Saccharomyces cerevisiae S288C: one gene and its partners. Changing the gene in region 4 together with the main gene of any one other region gives a genetic interaction. Each region holds a gene or a part of one and is shown on either strand. Other genes may lie near its edges. The genes, in order: MUS81, MMS4, MMS22 and RNH202.

Evidence for each region.
Region 1: mutations in RNH202 (region 4) and MUS81 are lethal when combined (synthetic lethality), as found in Saccharomyces cerevisiae (3 studies listed by BioGRID, with this or other methods).
Region 2: mutations in RNH202 (region 4) and MMS4 together harm fitness more than expected from each alone (negative genetic interaction), as found in Saccharomyces cerevisiae (4 studies listed by BioGRID, with this or other methods).
Region 3: mutations in RNH202 (region 4) and MMS22 together harm fitness more than expected from each alone (negative genetic interaction), as found in Saccharomyces cerevisiae (3 studies listed by BioGRID, with this or other methods).

Annotation. Positions count from the first base shown.
Region 1 is NC_001136.10:1,244,322-1,252,497, reverse strand, and holds MUS81 (Mus81p), read right to left. Parts: upstream 6,415-8,176; coding exon 4,516-6,414; downstream 1-4,515. Other genes in the region: RVS167 (amphiphysin), read right to left, coding at 864-2,312; CIN10 (Cin10p), read left to right, coding at 2,677-4,344; EFT2 (elongation factor 2), read right to left, coding at 6,740-8,176.
Region 2 is NC_001134.8:439,622-444,826, reverse strand, and holds MMS4 (Mms4p), read right to left. Parts: upstream 3,313-5,205; coding exon 1,237-3,312; downstream 1-1,236. Other genes in the region: Hsp70 nucleotide exchange factor FES1, read left to right, coding at 134-1,006; ubiquitin-binding serine/threonine protein kinase VPS15, read right to left, coding at 3,512-5,205. UniProt on the Saccharomyces cerevisiae protein: Interacts with MUS81 to form a DNA structure-specific endonuclease with substrate preference for branched DNA structures with a 5'-end at the branch nick.
Region 3 is NC_001144.5:767,781-778,458, forward strand, and holds MMS22 (Mms22p), read left to right. Parts: upstream 1-4,159; coding exon 4,160-8,524; downstream 8,525-10,678. Other genes in the region: EST2 (telomerase reverse transcriptase), read left to right, coding at 1-1,416; BUD6 (formin-mediated actin nucleation enhancer), read right to left, coding at 1,538-3,904; SFH1 (Sfh1p), read right to left, coding at 8,804-10,084; U2-type spliceosomal complex subunit CWC24, read right to left, coding at 10,393-10,678. UniProt on the Saccharomyces cerevisiae protein: Substrate targeting component of a cullin-RING-based E3 ubiquitin-protein ligase complex RTT101(MMS1-MMS22).
Region 4 is NC_001136.10:1,015,519-1,022,808, reverse strand, and holds RNH202 (Rnh202p), read right to left. Parts: upstream 3,442-7,290; coding exon 2,389-3,441; downstream 1-2,388. Other genes in the region: PHM6 (Phm6p), read left to right, coding at 488-802; exosome non-catalytic core subunit RRP45, read right to left, coding at 1,145-2,062; MTH1 (Mth1p), read left to right, coding at 7,107-7,290. UniProt on the Saccharomyces cerevisiae protein: Non catalytic subunit of RNase H2, an endonuclease that specifically degrades the RNA of RNA:DNA hybrids. Participates in DNA replication, possibly by mediating the removal of lagging-strand Okazaki fragment RNA primers during DNA replication.

The DNA of each region.
Region 1 (8,176 bases), 230 kb from region 4:
GATGAAAGTAAGACCAAAGCAGGAATCAAATTGGAAGCTCGAAAGCAAACTTGTGAAGGCTAATTTCTCTGCCCCTCTACTTTAGAAAAAAATTGCTGTGAAATGAGAACGGCTTTTTGAACACTGCAATATAACTTTCTGGAGAAAATTTGTTCTGATAACTTTGTGATGCGTGAAAGCTTAAGAGATCAAAAATATGTGGAGTTTTCAAGTCACTAGTGAATAAAACCAGTGGAATGGGTAAAAAAATTTTTTGTAACGGGCCTGCTATTCTAGGAAACCTAACGAAGACTTTATCAATTTGTTTTTCCTCTTCTGAGATCGTCCGATCAAGCCTAACAGTTTCGCGAGTAAAAAGGATGATTTCTTCTAAATTTAGTATTAAAGTAATGAATGCGTACACCCTGCTTGAAGATGTTGTGCAATGTAGCTCAGTTTCTTCCGCGCCAGGCCACTAGTCTTGCTTTTTTCCTGTTTGTCAGCACCGGTTTCCCAACTGGGCTGTGTCATCGACAAGACAGAGATGGTGTTTTATAAAAGAGAAAGGAGACTGAGGAACGTCGTTTTAGGAAGACTAGGCGAGGTGAGCGAGAAAACTGATTTCCCCATATGGTAGGCTTTGTACCATATTGGGAAGGTGGCAGCCCTATTGGGAACGCGCTCCTTCCCTTTTGGGATATTGTCAGTAGGGTAATATGCTCGCCGCATGCCCGTAATAGATAGACTCAAACGATACTTTGTTGGTGGAAGGATGAATTACCCTATATAGTATTTAAATTAAGAAACATTACAATAAAAGAAAAAGGTAATGGTAACATCTCACAATAGAAGGTAATGAATACAGAGGGATGCAGGGGCCTCCTCTAGTTCTTGTTGAGTTGCACGTAGTTCCCAGGAAACACACCTTGCTGGCCATTGTATCTTCCTGTCCACCATTCGTTCACGTCCGGAGTACGCTGGACAATTTCTATAACTGCGCCGGCAGGGAAAGACAAATCACCAGCAGCTTGAGCTTGGTAGTCATACAATGCGGTAACAGTTTCAACGCCAGGAGCTGCCGCTACGGCCGCGGCTGGTGTGCCCGCAACAGGTGATGTTAGAGGATTAGAGTAGGCCGGTGGTGGTCCCTGTTGCTGCTGTGGTGATTGTTGGAAGCCTAGCCCAGTGAGCGGTGGAGATTGCGCAGCAGCATACTGTGGATAAGTACCCGGAACAGCGCCAGCAGCAGCACCAGCAGCAGTACCAACAGCAGCAGCAGTACCAACGGCGGCAGCAGTACCATACTGGGCAGCAGGTTGAGCGGCGTAACTTGGTGCTGCGGCACCATAACCGTATCCTGTAGGGGTTGGAGAAGTGGCAGTTGCTGGATCATACCCAGCACCATATCCGACACCGCTTGATGCGCCACTGACGGGTGAGCCTTCGGCGGTTGCTACACCATACTTCCTTCTGGTCATCTCCAATTTTGCCTTAGAGTAACCGAGTTTAAAGTGTGTAATAGTCAAGGCGTCCGTTTGTTCTTCCACATTGCCTTTCTTGGCAATGTACGACTCTACAATGTCACTGTTCAAATCAAAATATGGAATCTTCATGTCTTGAAGTCTATTATACAAAGTGTAAAAAATGTTCAATTGCATGAAATAAAATGAGACAAATAATGGTTTCACAAATTCAGCTTCCAAACTGAACAGTATTGGTAATTGAGTCTTTAGCAAGTCGTTATAGTAATCATATTCTTGTTGAGCCACTTCCACTTGAGCTTGTGCTTTATACAATCTTTCTTCGTCTTTGGCGGTTGGTTCCTTCTTCTTTTCATGCTTGTTATAAGTGTTTAGATGTCTATCTAAATCTAATTTTTTGTGATTTCTCTTGGTGGCCATTTTACGAATATAAGTAATAATCTTCAACAGTTCCTGGCATGGCGTAACAATTTTTTCTTCCACCAAAGCCAGATCCGGTTTCAATGTTTCCTGTAATTCTGCGACAATTGCCCTATACTGTTCACTTGCTTCAATACCTTGTGGGTTGTCCTCTGGTATGGTAGCGTTAGGGTCACTCATTTTACCACTGATAGGTTTGAAAATTTCCTCCATGGATTTGGCAAATCCAATTTGGTGTGTCAGCATTCCATTCACCGCAGTCGAGTATCTCTTCGATTCCTCACTTAATTTTTTTGTCTCCTGCTCCAATTCTTGAAAACGACGTTCTGCATCCTCGTAAACAGGATCCTCTGTCTGCTCACCCATCTTGAACTTTTGACGGAAGGACTGAGGAGCCCTACTAACAGCCTTGGTAAACCCTTTAAAACTCATGTGCACTTATTGGCTCCTTGATTCTTGGTGTTAAATGACCAGGTGAGCCTCACTTTACTTTATTCCTTAAAACAGGTTGTTAAACATCGACACTACAAAGCCCTCTCCTTTTTTTTTTCCGGTACCAATATTATCGCAACATCCGAACATCGGTCGGATTGATAATTTAGTCAGGTAGACTACCATAGCAACTGGAAGGTATACATAACAAAATTTCCATACGAAAGGAACTTCTTGAACTATATACAACCTTATATGTGCAACTGTAGCGTGCACTTATAGTCCATGGTCAAAAAGTATCTTTTCTCAGTAGAAAACAAAAGCGTACAGGCAAGCGACAGGAAAGTCAAAACTTGATAGAGGTATGTCTACAGATGAAAGTGAAGACGTTTATTCTGATCTGTATTCCATTATCTCCCAGGTAACATCCAATACTGCCAATGACATCGAGCAACTCCCATATGCTTTAACGTTCAAAACGTCGTTAATCTTCGTTGGTGCTACCATTGGTGGGCTTTTATTCGGCTATGATACTGGTGTTATATCAGGTGTTCTGCTTTCTTTAAAGCCCGAAGATCTATCTTTGGTAGTTTTAACGGATGTTCAGAAGGAGCTGATAACTTCCAGTACAAGCGTCGGATCATTTTTTGGCTCTATTCTGGCATTTCCTTTAGCAGATAGGTATGGAAGAAGAATTACTCTCGCAATCTGCTGTTCAATTTTTATCCTAGCTGCAATTGGAATGGCTATAGCAAGAACATTGACGTTTTTGATTTGTGGGAGATTGCTGGTTGGGATCGCTGTTGGAGTGTCTGCCCAGTGCGTCCCTCTATTTCTGAGTGAAATTTCACCTTCCAGAATCAGGGGTTTTATGTTGACATTGAACATTATTGCCATCACTGGAGGTCAATTGGTTTCCTATGTGATTGCGTCCCTTATGAAAGAGATTGATAATTCATGGAGATATTTGTTCGCACTTTCTGCTATTCCAGCTATTCTGTTCCTTTCAATACTGGATTTTATCCCTGAATCGCCACGATGGTCCATTTCCAAGGGAGACATTCTATATACCAGGGATTCTCTAAGAATGCTATATCCTACTGCATCTACATATCATGTGAATAGTAAAATTAAGCAGCTGATAATTGAACTCGATAAGTTACGACTATACGAAGATGCAAGTGAACCTTTACTAGTACAGTCCCAATCGGTTATTCGATACATGGATAGTTCAACCTCAGGAACTCTTAGCCCACCTAACATTAAAAGACTTTCCTCGAACACAGAAAGAACTAGCAACACAATGTCCTCCTCATCAGCATATCTATCGGCGTTGCGAGGCCCAGCTCCAAACGGTGCCCTGGCATCTAACAAAAAGAAAAGACACAGAATGGAGCCACGCACAATAAGAGCGTTAATAGTAGGTTGCATGTTAATGTTTTTCCAGCAAATCACTGGCTTTAATGCTTTTATGTACTATGCGGCAATAATATTTTCCAAATTTAATATAAAAAACCCTCTACTGCCTCCAATTTTGATTGCCTCAACGAACTTCATATTCACTTTTTTCGCCATGTACACCATGGACTCTTTGGGAAGAAGAGCCATTCTTTTGAGAACAATTTTGATTATGACTGTTGGGTTACTTCTTTGCAGTGTAGGTTTCGGTCATGACCAAGTCAATTTACTTTTAATTTCTGTTGTAATTTATGTTGCAGCATATGCTTCTGCGATGGGCAGCGTTCCATGGACCTGTGTGGAATTTCTCCCCTTGAACAGGAGATCATTTGGGGCATCATGTATAGCCTGCACAAATTGGTTGACCAATGCATTTGTTTCAATGACATATCTGAGCACTATTAACACCATTGGTGATGAAAATACAATGCTCATTTTTGCTTTTTTCACAGTTTGTGCCTGGTTTTTCGTATATTTTTGGTATCCAGAAGTCAAAGGTTTGTCACTGGAAGAGGTTGGAAGGGTTTTTGATAATGGAATTGATGTTCATTATGTCTTTCGTACCTACCATTGATGAGTTGTCAAGTGGCATCATAATGCATTGGGGCGGCTTTCAGATATGCTTCTGGTATATTTGTCCGTGAGAAATTAAGGCTTCTTTTCTTATATATGTATATATTAGTTAAAAGAATATCATCACTTTTTTCTTTATAAAACCTTGCAGGGATGACTATATTTCAAATTGCTAAAGTTTACCAAAAGCATCATATATCTTTTCTGAAAGAGATTTAGTAATTTTCTTCGCACCAGGTGCATCTCCCAGTACATTAAACATCAACAATTTAGCCTCTTCTTCCGAGGAGCACGTTTTATATGCCATTAGTATTTTATTCAGGGTAGGAAATATTTCTTGGATGGCTACTGCTTTTTCTAAAGATATACCTTTAACAAGCATTAAAACATGTATAGTTAGCTCACCAACCGTCTTTAGATCGCCTTTTCCCATTAGTTCTTGAAAGCATTCAAGATTATGACAGCATTCAATACCGCCTTTTCGTTCGAATTCTCGACGAAACTGTAGAAGCACCTTTTTATAATCGTCCTTGCTTTTAAGGTCACTTGGAAATATAACTATGAGATCTTTTTGAGAATAGTGATGAGAAATTACAGTATGCAACGCATGTATCTTTTCCACAGTTTCATCCGAATTGCAAGTTCTTATCATGGAGAATTTGTAATACACTAAAATGACCCAAAGCGCGGTCTTTAGGGCCTCATTCATATTTCCAATGTTGCCACTCATAGTCTCCTCAATGAGATAGTATTTGTGTTCACAGCCAGATTTCTCTAACCTATTTTTTTGCTCCATAAACCTGTTATCCCTTATACTTAAAGCTAAATCGTCTAGCCTTTTTCTTTCAACTATGGTGTTGAGCACACACTGCAACCCGGTATTTTTATTCTTGGCAACCCATATAATATCACCCAAAGCGAGTTGCCTTATCTCTGACTTCATACCTTTTCTTTCAAATGCCCTTGAAAAAAACTCACGATCAGATTGTGACTTTATTTCTCTGTGATCAATAATTGGGAAAACTTCGAAATCACCACTACACCACAATTCGTAACTTACTCCGTTGTACCTTCTCCTCTTTATTGTGCTTTTAGCCTTTAATGCGGAATCAGGTACTGTTTGATCATCAGAGACCTCTTCCAATTTATGAGAAGATATATTAGTTTGGCTATTCAGTCTATCATTTTTAAATACATTGTTCTGCAGCCTTTGCGGCGTGCTCAAATCTTGAAAAGTTATATCCAGCATGAATGAAGTGTTATTTATATCGCAGGGCTCTTCTTCCTTACCATATTCACCACGGAGGTCAGTCAGATTTGCTGTGAATTCACTACTTTCATTCCTGGTTACGGAATACTCGTTAGGTTCTTCATTTTCTTTTGGAAAAGAGATTCCGTCTGCCGTCTTTAAGCTCTTTGTTAGTTCTACACCTTCCTCTGTTAGCGAATACCGTTTTGGTCTACCTTCCTCAAGAACCAACGAATGTTTTTTAAGTGCAGCAATAGACGACCAAGCACCGTAGAATTCTTTTGTGGAGAAATTTGGAGTCATACAATGGTCACTGTATTTTCCTGCAACCTCGATGATTTGCTCTTTACTAACGCCTCGAGGAATGGCATTAAGCTCGAGTAAGGAAAGAAGGATAGCGTAGCCTCCAGATCTTTTTTTGGGTATATACTTCCTAGTTTTTCTCTTTTTAGTTCCCTTCTCTTCGGGAGCTTCATTCTTATCATTTTCGCATGAGTTTACTATGCTACGCAAAGCTGTAGTAGTCCTCTTTGGTGGTCTGGTGCTACTTGTCTGAGTTAAGGAAGGAGCCTCAACGGGAGATATGTGGTGAATTTTGCAATAGTTCCGTAATTTCGTATCTAATCTCTTTATTATTGTATTGCCAATTCCCTTAACTTTCTTTAGATCTGTAGGATAATAAAATGAACCTTCAGCATTTTGTAAATTCCTTTTTGCTTTTTCATAGGCTATTTTGAGTTGTTCTTGTTTAGGGGTTAATCCGTCAACTAATTCTTGTAACCATTCAATATATAGGTCTTTTAAGTTTGATGAGAGTTCCATGCTTTCATGCTAGGAATGTGTGTTCGTATCAATCCTTTGAAACTTTGTTTACGCCAATGTTGATGCCACTCTTAAAGGGCATTACCGCGATCGGTAAGAAAAGAAGTTGATGACGCGAATAGGCAAAGCAAGATAAATCATAGTAACTATTATACAGGGGAAGGCAGATATCTAATATGGAAATATGATTAAATATGAAATAACACTATAGATGGTAAGTATACGTGAGAATAAACTACAAAAAAGTCAAAAGGACATAAAAGGTGCCCAATACATTACGACAAAAACTGAAAAAGTTAAATAATTAAAAATTGTTTAACCATTCTTACAATTTGTCGTAATATTCTTGCCAGCCTGGAACTTCTTCCTTCATACCGTGTCTCTTACGAGCAGCAAGAACAATTTCACCAGCCTTAGAGGTTGGGTCCAATGGGTCAGAACCTAAAGTGGACCAATGGTCGAAAACCATTTGTGGGAAAGCTTGACCACCAGTAGCTTGTCTCAATTCACCAGTGAAACCGAAAGATTCGTTAACTGGCAAGTAGGCCTTGACGGTAAACAATGGAGTACCTGGTCTTTGTTCTTCAGAAACGACTTGACCTCTCTTCTTGTTTAAGACGGAGTAGATACCACCGACGGCTTGTTCTGGACATTGAATTTCGACCAAGAAAACTGGTTCTTGGATCTTTGGATCAGCCAACAAGAAACCAGCGTAAGTAGCTCTTCTCATGGTTGGGATGATTTGACCACCACCTCTGTGGATAGCATCGGCATGTAAAGTAACATCCAAAATGTTAACTCTGACAGATCTCATTTCTTCACCGAAAATTGGACCTTCCTTGGTAGCCCATTGGAAAGCAGCAACAACGGAATCCTTGATTTCGTGCAAGTATTGGACAGCCTTAGTTTGGTCAATAACCAAGTTTGGACCGTTACCGTCTGGACCGAAACACCAGATCTTTCTGGCATCGGTGACATCCCAACCGTAGTCGTCAGCCATGATTCTAGCTCTGGCCTTGAAATCATCTCTTGGGTTGATGATACCGTTTTCAATAGCCAAAGAGACTTCTTCGTCAATTGGTTCAGCCTTCAAGTAGATTCTGTTATGCTTGTTTGGAGACTTGGACAAAGCAGTTTGAGAAGATTCACTTTCAACAGTTTCTCTGTAAGCGACAACTGGTGGGGAGATCTTCAATGGAACACCAGCGTGGTCGTGTTCCAAATCTTGCAAACAAATTTCCAAATGCAATTCACCGGTACCAGCAACGATATGTTCACCGGATTCAGACATATAGGTCAAGACACATGGATCAGACTTGGACAATCTCTTCAAACCTTCGACCAATTTTGGTAAGTCGTTAGCGTTCTTGACTTCGACAGCGACTTGCACAACTGGAGAGACAGAGAATTTCATGACCTTCATGTTGTGAGCAGTTTCACTGGTGGTCAAAGTACCAGTCTTCAACAAGAATTGATCGATACCGACTAAACCGATAATGTTACCGGCTGGACAGTCATCGATTGGTTCGACAAATCTACCCATCATCAAAACAACTCTTTGAATGGCCTTGATGAACAAATCGTCCTTCTTACCTGGAACGTAGTTTGGACCTTGGATTCTGACCTTTTGACCGGACTTAACAGTACCGGCAAAAACTCTACCGAAGGCGTAGAATCTACCCTTATCAGAGGTTGGCACCATCTTGGAGACGTACAACATCAAATCAGCCTTTGGATCACAGTTCTTGATAGCAATACAGTT
Region 2 (5,205 bases), on a different chromosome or scaffold from region 4:
AGGCATCTCGCGCTGACAGAAATTTGCTTATAAACCAGCGATTGGCTATATCTAAAAGAGCACTCATCGTCAGTCAGAAAGCCATTACCTTTCAACGAAAGAGTAAAATAGAAAAAAAAACACATACATAACTATGGAAAAGCTATTACAGTGGTCTATTGCGAATTCTCAAGGGGACAAAGAAGCTATGGCTAGGGCCGGCCAACCTGATCCTAAATTGCTACAGCAGTTATTCGGTGGTGGTGGTCCTGACGATCCAACCTTAATGAAAGAATCCATGGCTGTTATTATGAATCCGGAGGTTGACTTAGAAACAAAACTCGTTGCATTTGACAACTTTGAAATGTTGATTGAGAACTTAGATAATGCTAATAATATCGAAAATTTAAAACTGTGGGAGCCATTGTTGGATGTTCTTGTTCAGACGAAGGATGAAGAACTACGTGCTGCTGCTTTATCCATTATTGGAACGGCTGTGCAAAACAACTTGGATTCGCAAAATAATTTCATGAAATACGACAATGGTCTGCGAAGCCTTATCGAAATAGCTAGTGACAAGACAAAGCCACTCGACGTGAGAACAAAAGCTTTTTACGCACTATCTAATCTAATAAGAAACCACAAAGATATCTCAGAAAAGTTTTTCAAATTAAATGGGCTCGACTGCATAGCACCTGTATTAAGTGATAACACCGCCAAACCAAAACTGAAAATGAGAGCCATTGCCTTATTGACCGCATATTTGTCATCTGTTAAGATTGATGAAAATATAATCAGTGTGCTGAGAAAGGATGGAGTAATTGAAAGTACGATTGAGTGCTTGTCTGACGAGAGTAACTTGAACATCATAGATAGAGTTCTGTCTTTTCTCTCTCACCTGATATCTTCCGGAATAAAATTTAATGAACAGGAATTGCACAAATTGAACGAAGGTTACAAACATATCGAGCCTCTAAAGGACAGACTTAATGAAGACGATTATTTAGCCGTAAAGTATGTATTATGATTACGTCCGTAGAAATAAAATGATATTACATTCACCATTTCATATTATCTTTAACCGGAATCTCGAACATTTATTATTAACACTGTTTTATTTTATTACGAATATTTATCAATAGTACTTTCTGTAAAATGGAATTCATTAAAAAGGTAAGGAGGGGGAAATAGAGCTGCAGTGATTTTCAAAACGACTGCCTTAAGGTATGTTCTTATATACAAAGTTTCGTTCGATCATCATTCAATAGTATCATTTGGATCAGTACAAGTAAACAGTTTGTACAATCTTTTTTCTACTGCCTCAGTCATCAAGTATTTACCTTCGTTGTCTGATTGCAGTCTTCCCTTTTCAATATCTTCAAGTAATGATTGAAAACTGGGGTATAGGCTCACGACATTATTCGCCTTCATTTCAGGCATTCTCCCTATCTGATGAAAGGTTTTCTTTAGCGTTTCTGTACTATCCTGAGCGGATTTTACATTCAAATGAGCATATTTCATATACCGAATTGCGGGATCCATGCGCTGTTTTCCAATTAATGACACTAGGTTCGGCAGAGAATTAATAAACTCCATATGTGAATTTACAGTATGTATTTTGACATGCCATTCTCTATCAATGAAGCGCAATCGTTGCTCTAAATCAAATTTTTTTATCCCTAATTTTCCAACTTGGCTTGATTTTTTACTTCTCGGTCTTAAAGCTTCTTCTGTTCCTGACAATCGTTGTTCTACCCTAGCTTTGTACTTTTCATTTTCTAATTGGAAAATAGCTCTTTTGAGTTTATTTATATCGCTTAGTATAAGAATCACATGTTTTCCATTCTTTGAGAAAAATCGTATCTTCCTATATAATTCTTTCTTTTGTGAAGTGTATTGTTCAAAAAATTCTTGCGCATCATAATATAGAATCAAAACGTTTTCTTCAACTATTTTGGGATCACAGGGGTAATAGAAATCGTTACTAAAGTCGTAAATACTGTCACATTTTCGAAGAAATCTTAAAAGCGGCATAGAATCGTTATAGCTTGATTGCACAACTGCTGGTGCCAATTGTTGTTGCAGATCACTGTCTCCTTTTTTAAATAACTGGAGAAGGCTAGGCGAAAACTCTATAATCATTTGAGAGCGTGCTTTTATATTATCTCGATATATCTGGTTAACTCGCTTAAAAGCATTTTTGTTTTCTTTTAACAAGTGTCGTATTTTGTTTTTTGAGTCTTCTCTAGTATAGTATTGCCCATAGGCAATATAATTCTCTAGTTGTGATACCTCTCTGGCAGTATTTTTAGTACATTTGGGATCCTCAGCCGTTAATGTTTTCGAGCGTTTTGCTTCCTGAAAACAATTAGCGTTGCTAAAGATTGGTTGACTACCTGTCCTTACTATGTTAGACCCCTTTGCAGGGGTTGAAAGTACATCAGTAGTAATACTATCTGAGGAATCGAGAAATTTAGAAAGATTTAGTTCTACTGTATCAGGTAGTTTGGTGCTGTTGATTAGTGTTCTTGATAACGCTATGGTTCTCTTCTTTCCTTTCGGAAGGTGTTCTTGCTCGTCTTCACCTTTATTGTATACCCTTTTTGCCATGGATGTCCCATCTTCACCATGATTTTGTTTTCCTGCTGGTTTCAGGCTATTATCTGGTGAAGAATTTTCATTAGCAATCGAATTGTGCTTTTCTTCAGTTGGGTTCTCATGTTTTACTGGAGACAGTGGAAAATCGAACAGTATATCAGCTGCTCCTATCTGTGATTTCGGACTATCACTAATGTCACTATTGGTTTTTCCGATTCCTTGTGTCTTATATTCGCAGTCAACAGCAATAGGCTCTGGATTTTTTAAAGACTGTACTCCCCATTTCTCTGCGATGTCCCTCAAATTGTATTGTGATTTGTTGTGCTTCTTTCCACTCGACTCAAGATCAGCTGACCATTCATCACTTATTAGATCATCCAAAAGTTTTTTCGCGTTTCCTTTTGCATTATTCTCATTTCTGAGAGACGAATCTATGATGGAATTTACTGTTGTAGAAAAGTCATCTAGCTTGCTTATACTGATATCTTGGAAGAACGGCGCAGAAAGTTCGATAGATTTGTTTAGGTCAACATTCTCAACATCATTCGAAACAGATTTTCTTTGCGGTGATGATGGAATCATCTCTGCAGAGCTTACATGTGCCCTTTTGCACTCATCTTGATCCATTGATTCCGAGAGAGCGATAATTTCAACATTTGAGGGTCCATCGATGATCTGAATACTGGCATCGTTTCTTGAATCTTTGTCCTCAACAAAATCAACGATCTGGCTCATTTAACTAGCTGCAATATGTGACTACTATTATTCTATACCATAATCCATACATTGTTCTTTATTTACGTATACAACCATTTTTTTCGTGAAAAGGGTACTTCAACGCGTTGCAAGCCCTTTCCTAAATGATCGAAAATGTTTAAGGTGAATACAAATTTATACGCATTTAGAATAAAGAAGCTGAATAAAATAAAAAAAATTATTGGAAGATTCCAATAAGCCCTGAGTTATCACAAGCAACCAGCAAAGGTGTCTCATCAACTTCACATGTAGATATAGAATTTATAATATCATGATGATATAGAGAATCATCTACTGAATGAGTGCTAGTACGTTTCATTTTTCTCAATAACATTGTGAGATTTGCCGTAACTTGTGTAGGAATAAAAACGTCACTGAATCTTGAAGGACTTATTACTGCTTTAGAAGAAGAAAGCTCATTTAGGCTAAACATAACAATGGAACTTGTTGCTTCATCGGTAAGAAGAATTTTATCATTAGATACTGAGATAGTGCTTAGTGCGTTTAAAGACCTGATTCCACAAAAATTTAATTCTTCTAAGCCTTTCTCAATTGGTAAAAAGTGCTCCATAGATGGCTGTTCATCAGAATTTATGAAAGCATACTGACAATGCCCCTTAACAAAATTCCATATTGTTAGAAATGTTTTTGAACTACCTCCTACAACAATTACAGAATTCTTTCCATAAAACTGACAAACCTCCACATGCGTGATTGGTGCGTGGTCCCCAAAGGACCAACTCCTTATCAGCACGTTGAAACGGATATCCCATATATCAATAATACCTCTAGTCGTCCCCAAAATTAGGACACAACACTCTTCATCGATACAGATGCTTGAAACGGCACCATGCCTTGGAGAATTCTCTATAATTTGTAACCTCTCCAGGGTTCTAATATCAAATATAATAACCCTTGACAAATTCGTCAATGCTACTAGTAGAGATTTTTCCTCATTCACAAATGCTCTCATTCTCACTGCGTATTCATTTTTACCAAAATTCTTCAAGTTAATTTTCCTGATGCATTCGCAATTCAAAAATTTGACTTCACTTTCTTGTTGGTAATGATTAACCTTTAATACAATTATTTGTCCATCTTTACTGGAAACGGCAAACGCGTCAAAGTTAGGAATCATGGTTATCTGAGTTACGGTAGAGGAGCAGTCATAAGTTAAAGAAGAAGAGTAAACCTCGCCCACGATAATCTCTTTCAGGTTCCAAATCTTGATTACACCTTGATCTGAACCTGTTATTAAATAGGGTGTTTCTCCTGGAGAAACAGCAGAAGACGTAATAGAATTGGGTTCGTTTTCCATCAAAGTAGCTATCAACTTGCCCCTCAAATTACCCATGTTTGGACTCCGTACAATCTCTTGAATAGGCCCAAACTCCTTATAATCTCTCAGAGGAGGTAAAATTTTGAAAGTCGATAGGAATTTTTCTATGCTTTCAACGTCGCCTTCATAGCTGTTGCTGACGACTACCTTCCTTTCTGGTTTAACATTTGCATTATCTTTCAAGCCATGATTTGGAGAATGCATGTGATAGGACGTTGGTTCTAACTGAACAAAAACGTTCTTCAAATTAGAAGTAGTAGTGGCAATGGACTTATTTTTGAATATTAGTGATCCATTTATGTCCATGACGGTAGATAGCTGTTTGCTACCGTTAATATTTAGCTTATTGCTATCTTTCTCACTTTCATCATATTTATATATCTGTTGGTTCTCTAAGTTAGAATCTTGTCCCTCACTTGTCGACTCTTCAGCAAACTCTACATCAAAGAAAATGTTTCTTGGCATAATATTCGTAAGGTTTAGGTTAGGTGGTGAGTTCTGTACTAATGGACGGTAATTACTATTATTATATG
Region 3 (10,678 bases), on a different chromosome or scaffold from region 4:
ACGTACTTAGTCGAAAACAACGTATGTAGAAACCATAATAGTTACACGTTGTCCAATTTCAATCATAGCAAAATGAGGATTATACCAAAAAAAAGTAATAATGAGTTCAGGATTATTGCCATCCCATGCAGAGGGGCAGACGAAGAAGAATTCACAATTTATAAGGAGAATCACAAAAATGCTATCCAGCCCACTCAAAAAATTTTAGAATACCTAAGAAACAAAAGGCCGACTAGTTTTACTAAAATATATTCTCCAACGCAAATAGCTGACCGTATCAAAGAATTTAAGCAGAGACTTTTAAAGAAATTTAATAATGTCTTACCAGAGCTTTATTTCATGAAATTTGATGTCAAATCTTGCTATGATTCCATACCAAGGATGGAATGTATGAGGATACTCAAGGATGCGCTAAAAAATGAAAATGGGTTTTTCGTTAGATCTCAATATTTCTTCAATACCAATACAGGTGTATTGAAGTTATTTAATGTTGTTAACGCTAGCAGAGTACCAAAACCTTATGAGCTATACATAGATAATGTGAGGACGGTTCATTTATCAAATCAGGATGTTATAAACGTTGTAGAGATGGAAATATTTAAAACAGCTTTGTGGGTTGAAGATAAGTGCTACATTAGAGAAGATGGTCTTTTTCAGGGCTCTAGTTTATCTGCTCCGATCGTTGATTTGGTGTATGACGATCTTCTGGAGTTTTATAGCGAGTTTAAAGCCAGTCCTAGCCAGGACACATTAATTTTAAAACTGGCTGACGATTTCCTTATAATATCAACAGACCAACAGCAAGTGATCAATATCAAAAAGCTTGCCATGGGCGGATTTCAAAAATATAATGCGAAAGCCAATAGAGACAAAATTTTAGCCGTAAGCTCCCAATCAGATGATGATACGGTTATTCAATTTTGTGCAATGCACATATTTGTTAAAGAATTGGAAGTTTGGAAACATTCAAGCACAATGAATAATTTCCATATCCGTTCGAAATCTAGTAAAGGGATATTTCGAAGTTTAATAGCGCTGTTTAACACTAGAATCTCTTATAAAACAATTGACACAAATTTAAATTCAACAAACACCGTTCTCATGCAAATTGATCATGTTGTAAAGAACATTTCGGAATGTTATAAATCTGCTTTTAAGGATCTATCAATTAATGTTACGCAAAATATGCAATTTCATTCGTTCTTACAACGCATCATTGAAATGACAGTCAGCGGTTGTCCAATTACGAAATGTGATCCTTTAATCGAGTATGAGGTACGATTCACCATATTGAATGGATTTTTGGAAAGCCTATCTTCAAACACATCAAAATTTAAAGATAATATCATTCTTTTGAGAAAGGAAATTCAACACTTGCAAGCATATATATATATATATATACATATAGTTAATTAGTACTAATAATACATGAAATACTGACAGCTTATGATGCTGATAAGGAAAATATTGCCGCAAACTTTGTAATAAGCCAAAAGCACTAATCTCTTTTCCGTTAGCTTTCATAAAATTAGTGTATTTAAGTAAACCCCGGCCCAAAATATGCTCTCAAATTTGCTTCATCCTTCTGCTTTCTTATCCTTTCTACTTCTTCAAAGCCTCCCGATTTTTTCAGGTTTGAATTACCCACAAAATTTTCCAGTTCATCATCAAATTCATTACTAGCTTTAAGTTTTCTTTCCATCTCCCACATCTTCTCAGCCTTGTCAATAGCTTCGACCCTACTATCGTGGTCAGGGTTTAAAGATTGGACGGCCACCATAACTTGCTCCCTTACCTGATTAAATGTGCCCGGTCTCATAATAGGCAAAATAGGATTACTTTTTGATCTCGAAGGGTTTTTTTCTTGTTCTTCACAACATAACTTAATAAGATCGAAAGTTTCTAATGCCTTACCCAAGTCTTCCTTCAAATCTAAAATCAACTCTTCCTGCAACGTGAGAAACTGTTGTTCTTCACAGACCTTATCGAGCTCAGCTTCCCAAGTTTTTTTCCAATGTGGTTTTTCAGTATCAATAAACTCCTGTAGTTTAAGTACATCTGCTTGGGCATTTTCTAAATCCTTGGATACGGTTTCTAGCTTCTTTTTAGCGGGCTGAGACCTACGCTCAGCAACGTCTTTCCTCATAATTTCGATTACATCTTGCAAATCATCTACTTTACTTAGCAGAGTATCGGATAAATCACCGAGTTCGGTCTGTGATTTTTCCATGTACATTCTGTTGGAAGAGTTTTTGGCAGAAAATGATAAAGACTTAAAGTTATCGACCTTTCGTAAAATGTTGAAAATAGTCTCATTAATATTTGACCTATTAATATTATGCACTTGTTTTATTTTCCCCAATTCGTACTGAATATCTTTGATCGTTTTATCATCATCTTTTTTGTTTTGCCCCACAAGATCGTGTTTGTTAGCTTCAAGGCCAGGTTGTGGTAAAACTTCCGTTTGCTTGCCGCTAATTGCAGAACCAAAACTCATTTCTTTTAAATGTCTTATTATATCATTCTGACTATTCGATATCTCCATCTTAACTGTGTCAATGAATTCCTTGATCGTATTATTTGGATTCTCTTCGAGCTTTAGCTCGATAACAAACCCTTCTTTAATATCGAGAAGATTTAGTTCCTCTAATTCATAGAATACTCCATATTGAGGATCCATAATATATATGTCTGGGAAGGAATTTGCTCCAGGAGAATACGCAAAGCGCTCAATAAATAGGAGCCTTAATGCGTTTTTTGTAGTAGGCAGTTGCACATGACACTTCTTTGTTTTGTCTCCTATCCTTAAAAATACTGGACAAGTTCCATTCATGGCTTTATCTGGCGAAGTTGTAACAACGCTTGATAATCTTCGTGGAGATGCACGAACATTCTCAATAGGCAATGGCGTTTTCGCCAATGGACTCGCCTTTGATACATCGTCAATGCTTTTACCCTTATTTTCAGCTGAATTAATGTTTCTATCATCATCATTGTTGTTATTTCCGTATAACTTTGACTTTCTTACGGTTTCCTCTAGATGCAACATCGAGGGTGAAGGAGTTGTCATGAGGCCGGCAGCCGCAGCAGCTTCTGTTGTAGACTGATTTGTCAATTTAGCCATATGGTAGGCAGAGTATCTCTTTGAGGCTCTCCTTTGTAAATTAGTTCCCTTCTTCAATTGTGAAAGTGCATCATCATCATCAGATGCGTTTGGAGCATTGTTAGATTTAAGGTTTTGTTTAATATTAGTTCTTGGTTTTGTCAATGTTGCCTCTGCTGACTGAGCAGAGGGTGTTCCCGTAGAAGTAGAATTCACTTTTTCCCCATAGCTGTTTTCGACTGAATCGCTTTGCCTCTGATCACGTACAATACTGCTTTTTCTGCTACTTAATGGAGTCCCCTCACGGGTCCCTTCACTACCCAATGAAAGGTTACTAGTAAAGGAAGGGTTTTGTTGATGATGTGATTTTACACTTATCCGATGCTCTTGCTGCATATTCTTCAAAATTGCTTGTTTAACCTTTAGTTTGTCTAAAAGTGTCACTATAATCTCTCTGATTTTTGGCAGATGTTTATTTAAAGTTTCATCAGATGGTGGTTCCCTCAATGTCACTTCCAATACACGTCTTAAAGCCATTGGCACATCACCAACATCTGACATGTCAACTTTCGCATGCATGAAGAATTTCGATACGACTTTGAAGTCATTGCCCAACTGAACGTATGCATCAGATACTAATCTTCCAGAGGTTGTCCCCTTAGACCATTGTGTTAAGACCTGGAGGAGGTGCTTGGTGGACATCAGCAACTTTGTTACTGTCGTTTCAATACTACTACTGCTAGAAGCAGTTCTTTTAATCTTTGGGGTGCCATACGTAGGGTCATCCACGGCCATCTTCATCTAATTTTAAAATAATACGAGGATTACTACACCAATTTGGCAGCCAGCTTCTACTCTTTTTCCCTTTTCTTGGGTTTGTTTTGATGCCATTATCTCAAGAATGCATAATAGTAGGATAAAATTCGTTCAGCTCGGCTAGCGAGATATCTTCAAAGAGTAAAGCGCATCTGCGTGTAAAATTAAATTCAAGAAGTGAAAGAATAAAAGATAGGATTGTAGATTTGAAGTTTAGTGGTAGCGTCAGCAGATAAGCTTATGGATGTTGATGAACCGAATCCTATTGTGATATCAGATTCTGAGGCCACTGATGAGGAAATTAGTATCATATACGAACCCGAATTCAATGAAAATTATTTATGGGCAGAGGAAAACGTCCAAGAAGCAAGCAGATCACAGAAAATTGTCACTGAGAGGTTGAGCCTGGATTCCACTGCTGGAGAATCTTGTACTCCTTCCGTAGTAACTGATACACAAGTTACTACGGGGCTTCGGTGGTCTTTGAGGAAGAGGAAGGCTATTCAAAAGATGCCATACAGTTTAGAACGCATAAAGCATAGGCAGTTGCTAGAGGGCTATGATATCTCTAGTTTTGACAGCATTTCGAATCAGTTGACCTTACCGAAGAACGCTTCTACAGTGATTCACTCAAATGATATTTTACTTACAAAGAGAACTGGTAAACCCTTAGATGAGCAGAAAGATGTTACAATCGACTCCATTAAACCCGAAAACAGCTCGGTTCAATCTCAAAGATATGATAGTGATGAAGAAATACCAAAGAAAAGGCATCGTACTTTTAAAGACCTCGACCAGGATATAGTATTTCAATCAGGTGATTCTACGGAAGATGAACAAGACTTGGCTAGTACAAATTTACAGAATACTCAAAATGACGAAGTAATATTTAGAGGAAGAGTATTGAATGTAAGAACTGGTTACCGTGGGGTCCTGCCAAGAGTTGCTTGGGAAAAGTCGTTGCAAAAGCAGCAGTCTTCAAAAGTCACGAAAAGAAAAACTCAATTATTGAACCATAAGGGTGTGGCTAAGAGGAAAATGAACAGAAGCGCCCATATTGAAGATGAAGAACAGAACTTATTGAACGATCTTATTGCACCTGATGACGAACTGGATATCGAGGAAAACGCCCCTCCAGATATATACTTAGGAAATCTTCCAGAGGATCGTGAGGCTAACGAAAAGGAATTAAAGGAATTGCAAGAATATTATGAGAGCAAGTATAGTGAAGACGCACAATCGGCTGGAACTTCTGGTTTTAATTTAAATGAGGAATACCGCAATGAACCAGTGTATGAGCTGGAATATGACGGACCGGGGAGCTGCATATCACATGTGTCTTATAAAGACCAGCCTATTATTTATTTGAATTCACGGCATTCAGATAGCGGATTTAGTGAGCAATACAATATATCTGCCGAAGATAATCAAAGTGTAATTTCCCTAGATGCTGCTGAAGAGCATAACGATGGTATAATTGACAAGATGTTGGTTAAACCTAAAAGAATTAAAGCAACCAATGATGCCAACTTTTTGAATACAAAAAGTAAGAGAGTGAGAAGATATAAGTACAAATATCGAAATTCTTGTCTGGCCCCAAGTACAAAAGCTATCAAAGTCGGAAAACGGTCAGCGCATAAATCTCATTTGGCAGCTAATAATCCAGTTTCATTTGTTTCTAAGAAGAATCATGTAATTGATGATTATTTTTTTGAAGAATTAGAATCTCAATCCCTAGAACAGGATGACAGCTCTTCTCTCAAGCCACAGAAAAAAAGAAGGAAGAAGAAAGCACCTATATACTCAAGTTTCTCCGCTGATCTTGAATCGAGACGAAAACCAGTTTTCAATACTGTTGTAGAGGTTCCCACGAACCGATACGCTTTCACAAAGCCAAATGTACGTAATAGGGACAGCATTAATCATGACATGGAATTTGAGGAAGAAGACTCCAATCAAGAGCTTGGACCAATAATGGTCGTACTTGACTCAATTTTACTAAAAAAACCTTTTGAGCCACCTAATTTCTTCAAGATCCAGTTGTCAGACAAGAGTTTCTTGCTATCAAAATTGAATCCTGCAGATATAGCTACATCATTACAGAAAATATTCAGAGTAATCATTGATAAAGGTATCACTGATACTGAACTAGTTCACTTTAACGAAAGCCTTATTGCTTTTTTGGTGCACCTTGACATGCCTGAACTATTCGACTTAATAGGTGAATTTCATCGTGAATTTAGATCGAAGGTCAATAGCTTGAGGAAAAAAGCTAAACCAATCCATTTTTTTCAAATTGCGGCATGCCAATTAATGTTTCTAGAAATATCAAGATATAACAAAATTTCAGCCGCTGCAAAATTCGACATGGATGTCAAACTCTTAGATCATATTGTGTCTTTCTTCAAATTACTTTCTGTCTGTTATGATTCTGTTATGAAAAATCCAATGCAATATCTGTACACAAGTTATTATATTCTCTCTGCTGTCGTTGATGTCATACATAAAAAGGAAGCTTTGTGGGATTTATTTCAAAAGCACCCCTTTTCGCCTCATATTTCACTGTTGCTGGTCAACATATTTCCTACGAAAGTCTGCCGCTGGCAGGTTTTGAGATTAGATTCTGAATTCCAACCCTTGAGTTCGGCATTTCGGTTCATCAATTATTGCATTGAGACTTGTAATTGGAATGTTACAAATTCTTTGATTCTTTCTCTCGATCGCATATTCAAACGGAGAAGATTTTCGGACTTTGAAGAAGAGTCTGATTTGTCACAAAACAATAAGATAATTTATCCTCCAACGAATCAGCTTACGAGTCGATTAATGTTTAACAGATATTTGCATCTACTGACGTTGTGTGAATTGTCTAGTTCTGATACACAACGTGTGATACCGATGGGTGATATTTCTATGAATGATTCTCTATCTGTTTTGAAGAACCGCCTCAACCTACTAATTGTTCTAGCTACACGTTTTGATTTAAACTTAGAGAAGCGCTTCCAAGAGCTAACACGACCGTTATATAGTAAGGAATATTTAAACTTGCATACACAGAACACAGTCAGGACGATAACAACATTGATCATGCAGGCCAGCCTTTCATTCCTGGAAATCAGTCGAATCAAAAATCATCCATTCAGTGGAAAATTTATTGCGTCATTATTTGATAAACTAGTACTTCAACAACCTTCCATATCGGGAGTAACAGAAAATTTTTTGAAAGAATTCACAAATTTAGTCTCCAAAATGAAAAGAAAAAGCGTGAGTATGCTCAAATTTCTGTATCCTTCACTGGTGGCCATGTCTCAAGAAAATATATTCGAGTCGTCTTTTTTTTTATTATTACAGGTATATTTGAAGAGCTTAGATGTGCTGGGTCCAACTTGGGTGCAAAATTATCTTTTTCAGTTTATAAAGAGCAAGGCTCAAGAAAATGAAAGATGGATAGAATGCTATTGTCAGATCGGAAAATTCCTCGTAGATTCTGGTATATTTACCTGGTGGACTTTCTTTACCTATAACGGCTTAGATGCTGCATTACACTTTCAGCTTGCATTTCACTCCCTTATTATCGATTTCTGTGATACAGACTCTTTTGAATTACTGAAAAAACCGCTTTATTCCATTGCTTCTGATTTGCTGCTCATTTCCAAAGATGACGCTTTCTATCACTTTCTTTCCAATCTGTTGAAGAGGGCACATATCATAGTAGCAGATTTGAAACCTGTTTCCGATGAGAATGAACTCCTGCGATTGGCTTATATTTTTTCTAAAGCATTGAAAAAAAATGCATATCAAGATCTATTAGCTGTTTTCTTATCCCTGGCGAAAAAACATTACGATGAAGGGGACATCAGTAGAAATTTCTTGGCAAAATATCTCGAATTTCTTAACAAAAATTGCTTGACTGAGCTAAGAAATAATCAACTCTTCATCAGTCTAAGAAGGGAACTTGGTATTTCAAGTGATGAAGACGAAAAATGTGCGTTCTGGGACTCATTCAATGAAGCAGGTGATATACTTTCCAAAGCTGCATTTGTTGAAACCGGTATTGTTCAAGCCTGTTGCACTGGGAATGAAATTGATGGATATCTTGACAATTTAAGCACTTTATTCACCTCCACCATGTTAGAGAGCCCTTTTGCATTTTTTTCTGACCTGGTGATAGCACACATATTTGAGAACAGACCTTTTTTCGACGTGAATATCAAGAATTTTCTTCTATCTCACTTCATAGACCTTTTCAACAAGGTTTTAAAAATGAAATTCGAGCAGGTATCTCCTGATGAATTTGCTGAACTTTGCAAAGTATACAGGGCGTTATGTATTGAGTGCGCAACAGACGACACCTTTAATAGTAATAGTGATTTGATCGCCGCAAAAGATGCGTTTTTGGTATCTGTGTTGAGAATCGCAGATGGGTTTTGGGAGCATGACAAACTTTTGCAGCTAAGGATGCTTGATAGTAATATGAACATACCTAATCAGATTCCTCATACTACTTTGCAAAGTTCGCTATCTGCGATTGTAATAAAGATAATAGAAAGTAATATAGGAAAAATTGAGGCGTCTGAACCTTTCAAAACCTTCAAGAATACGTAAATTATACACATGTAATATAAGCATATTTAAAAATTCTCCGTAATATATGTCATATATGTCAAATTGCGAATTAGTCCAAATAGAAACAAGATCTATCAGTGTTGGTGATAAACATTTTGTATTCTTTTGGTAACGTGTATCTCAAAGAAGTGCATGACTTTTTTTACGTTCTCTTTAGTCTTGATTTAGTTGCTTCTGCGTTTGTTAAATTTTTTGTCCTTCCCGTTTGATTAATAATACTTATAATAATACAATTCTGTAACAAGAAAAGCAAAGTTACTACATTCTCATTGTGGTTTCTAAGTCATCTAATCTTCTCCTGCCCCTTCTAGATAATCTATCAGTTTCTCTTTTCAATCTTCTTAAGTTTCTTTCTTTTTCAATTTCTCTCTTTTGTATTTCTTCTTTTGTTAATATTTCCACCCTTGGGCACCAATTGGAGCCCAGTTCATCAATATCCAGCCTTATACCAGATAAGTACCCAAATGCGGCATCGTTTGGGACATGGTCCTGAATCAAGTGGCCATCTACCCAGTCCTTCTTTATCTTCAAGATAGTTTCATGAAGCGATTGAGATATTAAGGGGATGAACTCTCTTGTTAAGCCAAGGTCCTGTACAATGGATGTAGCAAATCTTTCTGGAGTAAGTGATTTGTCGTTCAAGTTCCACTGGAAGTTATCTTCAAAAAATCTGTCTTGTAAGTTGCAGGTTAGGTTGATTATCACGTGGAGGTCAGACATTATCTCAGTGGCTGCAATATTTTCGAGGTCTTTCAACTGCTCTTTTATTATATTCGCAATTTGAGTTTGTAAGGTAGCGGAAGTCATATCAAGATCTTTACAGTATATAGAGGCAAATTCCTCCGGAGATATGGAGTCGTCATTGTAGTTCCAGAGAAACTGGTCTTTTATGGTATGACCCATATGTTCTATATCCAAAGTAATTGGTATCATGATTGCCTCTCCAGAATTGGCGTTTGCCTTCGTTTCTTGATCAGTGTTGAGTCTATATGGAGACACCACTTTTCCGTTAATGAAAGTATCTCTTATTTTAGGGTATCTCAATATGTTGAAGGGGTTGTGGTGTTGGTCTTGCAGATCCGGTAGAACGGCGTTTCCAATATCCTGTGCCTGCGCTTTGTTGCTCGGACCATTGCTGGCGTTGTTATTGCTATTCAAACCGGATAAAGATTCCACAACCATGTTTGAACCCGCATCGTATTTGTTGTTAGAGATAATACTATCAGCTCCATTCATGTTCTCTAGGACATTGTATTCGGAACCGTCCATGGTAACACCATTTGTAAGTGCCGGAGTATTTTCATGAGACACTGCATTATCTTTATAGTGTGTATCAGCATTGTTGAAATTAGAACCGTTCATATTGAATTCATCAAAGAGATCGTTGTCATATTCCGCATAGTTGACCACTTTAGCCCTTTTATGCTGCCTTGTTTGTTGAGCCATTGTAAAGATGGGGATACCATCATCTTCGTTTGTCAATCTGTTATGAAAGTTAGAAATATAAGCTTGTGGAATAAGCTGGTTTTGGTGCGACATTGTGTGCTGCTATGTGCCTTTCTTCTTTCTTTTTTCAATGTACTTCATTCAATAATCTCTATTTGTCGTATTTTCTAAGTTTTTTTTTTTTGTCAAAGTAGTCGCGGCGACTTTAAATGAGCAGATCATCATTTAGTAGACAAAAAGACACGGGACATCTTCTATCTATATAGTTTACATACTTTATTATGTGAAAGAGTCTTTCGAAATTGCAACAATGCTCGATAAATCTATGGGTCATGTGCTCTATAATTCCTGTACATTAGCATCGGGTGCGTGTAATTTTTGGGGTGATATGGCATTCTCCATCAACTTTTCCTTTTATTTAGCATCTTCTGTAAGTCAGATGCTACTTTTGCACTGCCGTGGGTCTCCTTGTGGCATATAAAGCATTTGGTGCCCTTTTTCATATCTTTGGCAAAACACGATCCACAAAAATAATGGCCACAGTTTGTGACCACTGGAGACTTGTAATCTTCCTTACAAAGAGTGCACTTGAACGGTATCTTTTCCAAGTCTAGAGTAACCGCTTTGGAGTCCTCTTTATCCGCATTCCATTCTTGGTTCAGCTTCCAGCCAGTCTTGAAATCATCC
Region 4 (7,290 bases):
CCACTTAAAATAATATGACATATATTAGTTTGCACTGTCATGAAAACCCTGATAACGTGGTGTCATTTTTATTACACCCGTATATTCATCAGCCCGTCCTAACCTATCCGAACGACGCAGGATGGCCACTAACATCGCAAATAGTGTTATTACTTTTTCCATTTGGATGTTCTGCCCTATAATGTTACGCAGTTCCGAGCTTCGCTGACACGTGGGAGGTGGGATATAATATTTGCACGGGTTCTTTTTTGTGTCGTCTGGCGGAAAAAAATAGACTCGTCTCTTGTATGGCGCGCTAGTAATTTATTATTTGCGATGCGCAGAACCTTATCTTTTGTTTTCTATTCAGTATAAAACTTGAACGATTTCACCAGATGTTTGTACACTTTGATTCATTGCAGCCCAAATAGAATTTTTGTCAACTGCCATACCAAACTTGTTGAACTAAAAAAAAACGACAGCAATTGTTTTTCAACCTGACACCAAGATGGAAGATACCTCGAGGTGCATCGATGATGTACTGAAAATAGGACAACAGGAGAAGGAAATAAGACAGGCAGAGTTTTCTGACGCACAAGGGGAGAGAGAGGAGGTTAAGTGTATTGATTACACAGTAGATTTGGAAGCAGGTCTTCCGCGCCACGAGAGTAGTGGAAAAAGTAATACCCTCAAACAGTGTTATAACGCCGTTCTAGGGTTTCTCGAGGAACTCATCATCGTCATTATTATTGTGTTGCTGTTGTACAGTTTGACAATGGTAGGTCTTTTTTATGTGATGACGATGACGAAGTTTTTGTTTTAATAATAAGAATAATGGGATTTGTTTTCTTTCAAGATTTTTCTTTTGGATAGTACATGCCTTCAGAAATTAAGCAGGGAGGCAAAAGATAATATTTTCTCATATGCATTTATAGCCGAGCCTTTTTTCTTCGCAGTATGCGTTTGTTTTATAGTAATTTAATGATTTTTATGTTTTTGAACACCGCAGTCAAGAAAACAGTAGGAAAAAAACTGCGGGCGTCTTTCATACTGCCTTTAGTAGTAAGTGTAATTTTACAATCTATACGTACCGATATATATACATATATTAATGCATGCATGTATATGTATAAGCGTTGCTTTTATTTCAGTTTTTTCGTTAATATTAGATCTCGCGGGCATTTTCAGATGTAAGCATGGCTGCATACTTGTTTCTCTTTTCTGAATCCTCCTTTAAAAGCTGCAGTATTTGATCAGTTATTTTCTCAATAATGCTGTAAGCCTCGTGACAACATTTCATTAGCGTCAACGCATCCATTGGTAAACCACCCGCTTTGGAAACTTGTACCACTTCACGGTTTTTGTTTAGCGTAACCGTCAATACACCATCTCGCAGTAGTTCCTCTTTCAATGTTGCATCAATGATGGAAATTTCTGAGTTAGTCTCACCTTTTATGTTTTCCTCGGTGTCTTGAGGATTGAAGAAAGAAAAAGTTACACATATTGGAATATGCAGTATACCTAGTGGAACTGGCTCTCTTTCATTAACAGGATGAACAATGATCTGCTCGCCATGGACAGTTATATCTGGTTTCTTAAAATGCATCAATCCTGCCATGACGGCAATACACGAAGCGTCAATAAATCCACCATCACAATCCAGGAAATGTACATCAGCTCTCACAGCCCAGCATTTACTGCCAGCAACGATACATAGTCCTTCCACGTCCAATGCGCCCGACCGCCTAACAGATTTTTCAATTATTCTTGAACATAAAACTTCATCTTCCCCCGTGATATTTCCATTTTCAAATTGAGAACCAGCCATAGGAGATATTTCTGTAGATATTACAAATAATCCTTCAAATGGCCTGTCTTCGTATGGTTGTGCTATTTGACAACTAATCCTGCAGTGAACTTTGGTGTTGCCCATTTTTACGCTAACATCACCAAATTCTTTACCAAACGTTATTTCCACGTCACGAAATTGATCAAAGGAGCGGCCGTCCAACCTATAATTCTGTCTCAGTGCTTCTAAGATAAATTTTGACTCGGATGCGGATATCTCAATGTCTTTGGCCATTTGTCTTTTAATCTAATGTATATTCTGAACAATTTTGCAATCACTACGTCCTGTTGATTAATGTATCGAGACTGAAAGTTAGGAAGTTAGAAAAAAAACTTGAAAGTTGGTAAGGTAAATACAATCTAGCAACCGTTTCCTATTCCTTTATATTCAGACATTTGTTAACATCATCGAGGGAAAAGTTGTTAATTTTTTCTTGAATTCGAGAAAGGAAAAAAAAGGTAGCCCATTCGTTGGTAGTGACAATATTGTGTAATTATCTCGCACTGAGGTCATCACCACCGAGTTATAGCATTCAAATTGCTGTTTAATTATGATACTAGCTACTTACGTTTAAAAAATCCATCAATGGCCCCTTTTCCTATGGCTACTTTTGGTTTTTTATTTTGAACTATTTTTTTGGTAACTTTTTTCACTGGCAATGAAACCCTGCCATTCGAATTTAGGCCTACATTCATGGCACTTTTCATCAGTAATTCTCTTTCAGCATTCTGTAATTCGTTCGTAGTCTCGTAGTTTTCGAGTTCTATGAAGCTAGCTTTTATATCCGGATTTAGGCAACCACTATCCATTGTAGGTGAAAAGGTAAGTAAATTATGGTAGGCCGCCCTTGGAATCAGGGAAACTAAAAGATTTGTAGCCATAACTACCTTGTAGCACTGTTTTATTTCCGTTGGGGCATTTTTAAGTGTAGGGATACTTGGAGGAAAGTTTTCTACAATTTTTGATACCTTGCCTAACAAAAATTGTGTTATCATTGCAGATGTGATCTTGTAATAGACGTCACCAGCTTCCTCAATGGTTTCACTAACTTTTGCTAAGCCACTCTTGAGACGACTTAAAGAAATGTTTTCCCAATTCTTGTCATGGTTATCCGTTAAGAAATCATGGTAATCACGCACCGTAAGAAATTTCTCATTGGTTTTGCTGTTGCTTTTTTGGTTTTCACCAGTATCACTTGAATTGGAGTAATCTTGTTCATCTGCTGAAACACTGTTTCTATAGTAAAATCCAATCAAACTAAAAGCAATATCGTATAAAGAACAAAAGTGTATTTTGCTTGAGTTAAAAACATAACCATCGGTGGGATCAGACGTATTTACAATGAAAGTTGATTTGATCGGGTGATTTTCCTTAGTATAGTGATATTTATCATTTGCCAAATCTTCCTCATGTGAATACGAGGGCCCTTTGCCGAATTGAAAAGATCTTATTTCGTAAAGTTTTCCATTAATATTTTCGAAGAGCTCGATACGAGGTTTGGATGTAATATTGGAAGGTGGCGGCAGTGTAAAAGTGTTTATAGTTTTCGAAGTTTCATAATCGTCTGGTAAAATTATTAGTCGTTCTTCCCCCCCAATGTTGGAAACGGTCATGCTTTTTGTTCGAGAGGCCAGAAAAGAAAGTCAACTATTGCGACAGAATAAGATTAAATTTGTACTCGATTTGTTTCTGCTGTTGTACCAGAATCATTAACCAGATCTGACTTTAATTCTCATCGCGCTCGTGCTTTTGACAAACTTGTGAGAATGGAGTCTGTAGTGCCTTAAAAGGAAAAAAACGCGTTGTGGTTATGAATATGAGATTTCATAATCCAACTATGGCATCGACAACATTGAAAAGATAATGAGCTGGAAGTTGCTCCATTTTTTACCTTTTGAAATTTCTTCTTATATGTATATGCTCACTTTACTGACTAGTAAAATGTCGTGAAAATTTTTAGAGTTCCATTTTGGCTCAAGACAATGGCGCTACGAAGAAACGCCATACTTAAATTCCCCTCATGAACTTAGAAATTCACGAAAGAAGCTGAATCTTTACAGAATAAATTTGTAGAAGAATTTTTCTGTTCTTTTATGCTTTATTCGTTGCTGCTGTTGATAATCAGCGATAGCTGAATTTATTGAATAGAGAGGCCGGGAAACTTCGTGCTACTGTAGAACTGAGATATAGAATACATCACAACTGGATGTATTAGACAAGTTTAATTTACTAGGAAAAAAAAGCTCAGAAACTTACAATTCTAATTAATGACTAGAATTTCATATATGAATCCTAATTCAACGTGAAATTGGTGGACTTTTCAACTTGTCACACTCAAGTAGCTCATTGTTTCTTTCTCTGCTCTTAAAAATGACAATGCCACGCAAACATACGTGTGTTAAATAATGATATCAGCGCCAGATGTCACTGAATGTCAATACTTTAGTTATATCTGCAACGGTATGAGAAATAGGCGAATTTTAAGAGAACTGTTCGTATTCTATCGTTGCTAAAGGCTACAGTATCTGGTATACAAGATATATTAGAAGTTTTTCTCGAGAATTTAAGAATCCACAAAACCAAATTTGTTGGAGCGAATCGTAATTAACAGTGTTGATAGTTAGTAGTTAGGTTGTAGTATTGATTAAGAATAAAAGCAGATATTCTTATTCTAAAAGAAAGAGATATAAAATACACTCCGACTGGACATATTAAACCTTGCCGATATAGCAATGATGAGAGTAATTCTTATGGTTAATGTCACGAGATGAATTGTTATATTGCAAGCATCAGATTAATCATTCAGGTAATAGATCATTGAGTTTACTGTACCCAGATTATTATGTAGCTACGTATCATTCTCCAGTCTGAAACATTAAAGACGCATTGCACATCTGATTACTTCATTTGATTACTAATCGACTATTCATGAAGAATAATAAGTCAATATTCTCACGAATAGTAACTTGAGTTACTATAGTAACAATTTAAGTGTCTCTACTGTATATTAATGCAAACCCTACATACTTTTAAGTCCCTGTTGGACAGGGAAATGTTAAACGAGGAACTCAAACAGTATAATAGCTGAGTTAAAGATCCATTAATTGGAAATACTGCTATAGTCGAATGTACGAATAATAGTAGTCGCCAATTTAAATGTATAGTAACTGCTAGACCCACTATTATGTTCATGTTTAATAAGAACAACTGGCCTGTATTTTCTATATTCCTCTTATATAGCATGAGGAGATTTGCTTTTATTCCAAACTAATACTACATCCTGACCACTGATTATTAATAACACCAGTTTTCATATTACTAATACATTATCATACATGATGCAAAAATACTTTATAAACGGCGAAAAACATTTATCAAATTTAACAGAATCTGAAAATGCAGAGACTGATAATTAATAAAATAAAAACGGTGATTTTTTAAATGAAAGAGGGAATAATGATATCATTATGTGGAATGATCTGCTCCTTTTTGTATTTCCAACAATTTCAGTAAAGTCGTATCTTTCCTACCTAATAATATTGCCATAACAAATAATTTAGCCCCTAAATAGTCATAAGAGAACTCATTGAGAGTCAAAGAAAATCATATTCCCTAACAGAACCTTGATTTGCGACCGAATAATTGGCTTTCTTCATTACATAATGAACGTTTCTTTTAGGTCAAACTATCACCAAGGTACAATCCGATGTAGTGTAACGGCTATCACATCACGTTCTCACCGTGGAGACCGGGGTTCGACTCCCCGCTTCGGAGTTTCTTTTTTATTTTCTAGAAAAATTCACATGCTGATTCATTTACCGTTACTGTTTCACTGTGATGCTACTAGTCATATTCTTCTTATATCAATTTTTTTTCTATTGCTGTTTGCATTACCGCAACATACGATGGGAATAAACAGCACAAGCTGTTGTGTACATTTTTCCTCATCATATAACTACAATGTACATAAGTTAGCTTGAAAAAATTCTAGGTCTCATATTAATGCTTGAAATATGGAAGTATGTCGAATGTTTTATAAATAAGTCGAGAAAAATGGTTATGCTACCAGCTAACTTATATATATATAAGACTCTTTCATTCTTTTCTTTGTCTCTCAAACTTATATTTGTTTACGTTTTGGAGGAAAACTAATTATTTTTTTAATAAAGTAAACATAGCATTTCCAAGGTGCAAACCGATCCCTACCACCAAAATAAGCATACAAGACCGTTACAGCGTTAAGACAAAACTATGCTTCTAGGGGGGGGGGACAAAGCAAGGAAGATTAAAATGAATTCTTCAACTTAGGGGTACTTTAAGAGAAAGAATTCAATACTTGCGTTAGCTGACCACCCCATAGTTCGTTTAGATAAGGATATGGTGTGAAATTCATAGTTGAAGACTCTTGAGGAGGTAGGGAACATCTCTCTTCGCCCACCAAACCCAGTTTTCTCTAATACTCCATATCCAAAAAAGTGTAGCTCTATGTACATTGCCAAGGTTTTCTACTGATCAATATTTGATGGAAAAATATGACATAAGGTATGCGTATTAGTAAACTATTAGGGAGCCGCCGGTACTAATAACATCAAGGCCATCTCACGCCGAGACTTACTTGGACTTTTCTCTATTGTAAAGCGGAAAAAAAGTTATCACCCCGCCCCCTCCTCCGCTCCTCCACTAAAACGATCAGCAAATGGCAGAATAACGCGGTACTAACCAGTTTTTCCGTTCCTTGAAACCCAGTCATACTATGAAGTCCCTAAAATTATTCCGAAATTATTCCCTAGAACAAGCGGGAAAAAGGTCCGGGGAAATGGAGTCCGTGCGAGTTTTGTTAGGATGACTGCCCCACACATTTCCTCATCTTATAATTTTGTGGAAAAATTCATCGTGAGAGAAAATACGAGTCCATTTCTCCAGTGAAACTACCGTAGACATGGAATATCTGCCATTCTACCCCTTATTCAAGTGCCTTTTTTTTTTTTTTTCATCCCACATTTTATTGCTGCCTCAATCTCCATTAAGAAAAAAAATTTATATAACCAAATGACATTTTTCCTTTCTTCTCAAACTTTGTAATGCGCCTGTAACTGCTTCTTTTTTTATTAAAAAACAGCATGGAGTTTTTTAATAACTTAAGGAAACATACAAAAAGATTTGTTCATTTCACTCCAAGTATTTTTTAACGTATATTGAAAGTTCTCAATAGCGAAACCACAAGCAGCAATACAAAGAGAATTTTATTCGAACGCATAGAGTACACACACTCAAAGGAATGTTTGTTTCACCACCACCAGCAACTTCGAAAAACCAAGTTTTACAACGACGTCCATTAGAATCGACTAACAGTAATCATGGGTTTGCAAGCTCCCTACAGGCCATTCCGGAAAACACGATGAGTGGCAGTGATAATGCTTCTTTTCAAAGTTTGCCACTATCAATGAGTAGCTCTCAATCCA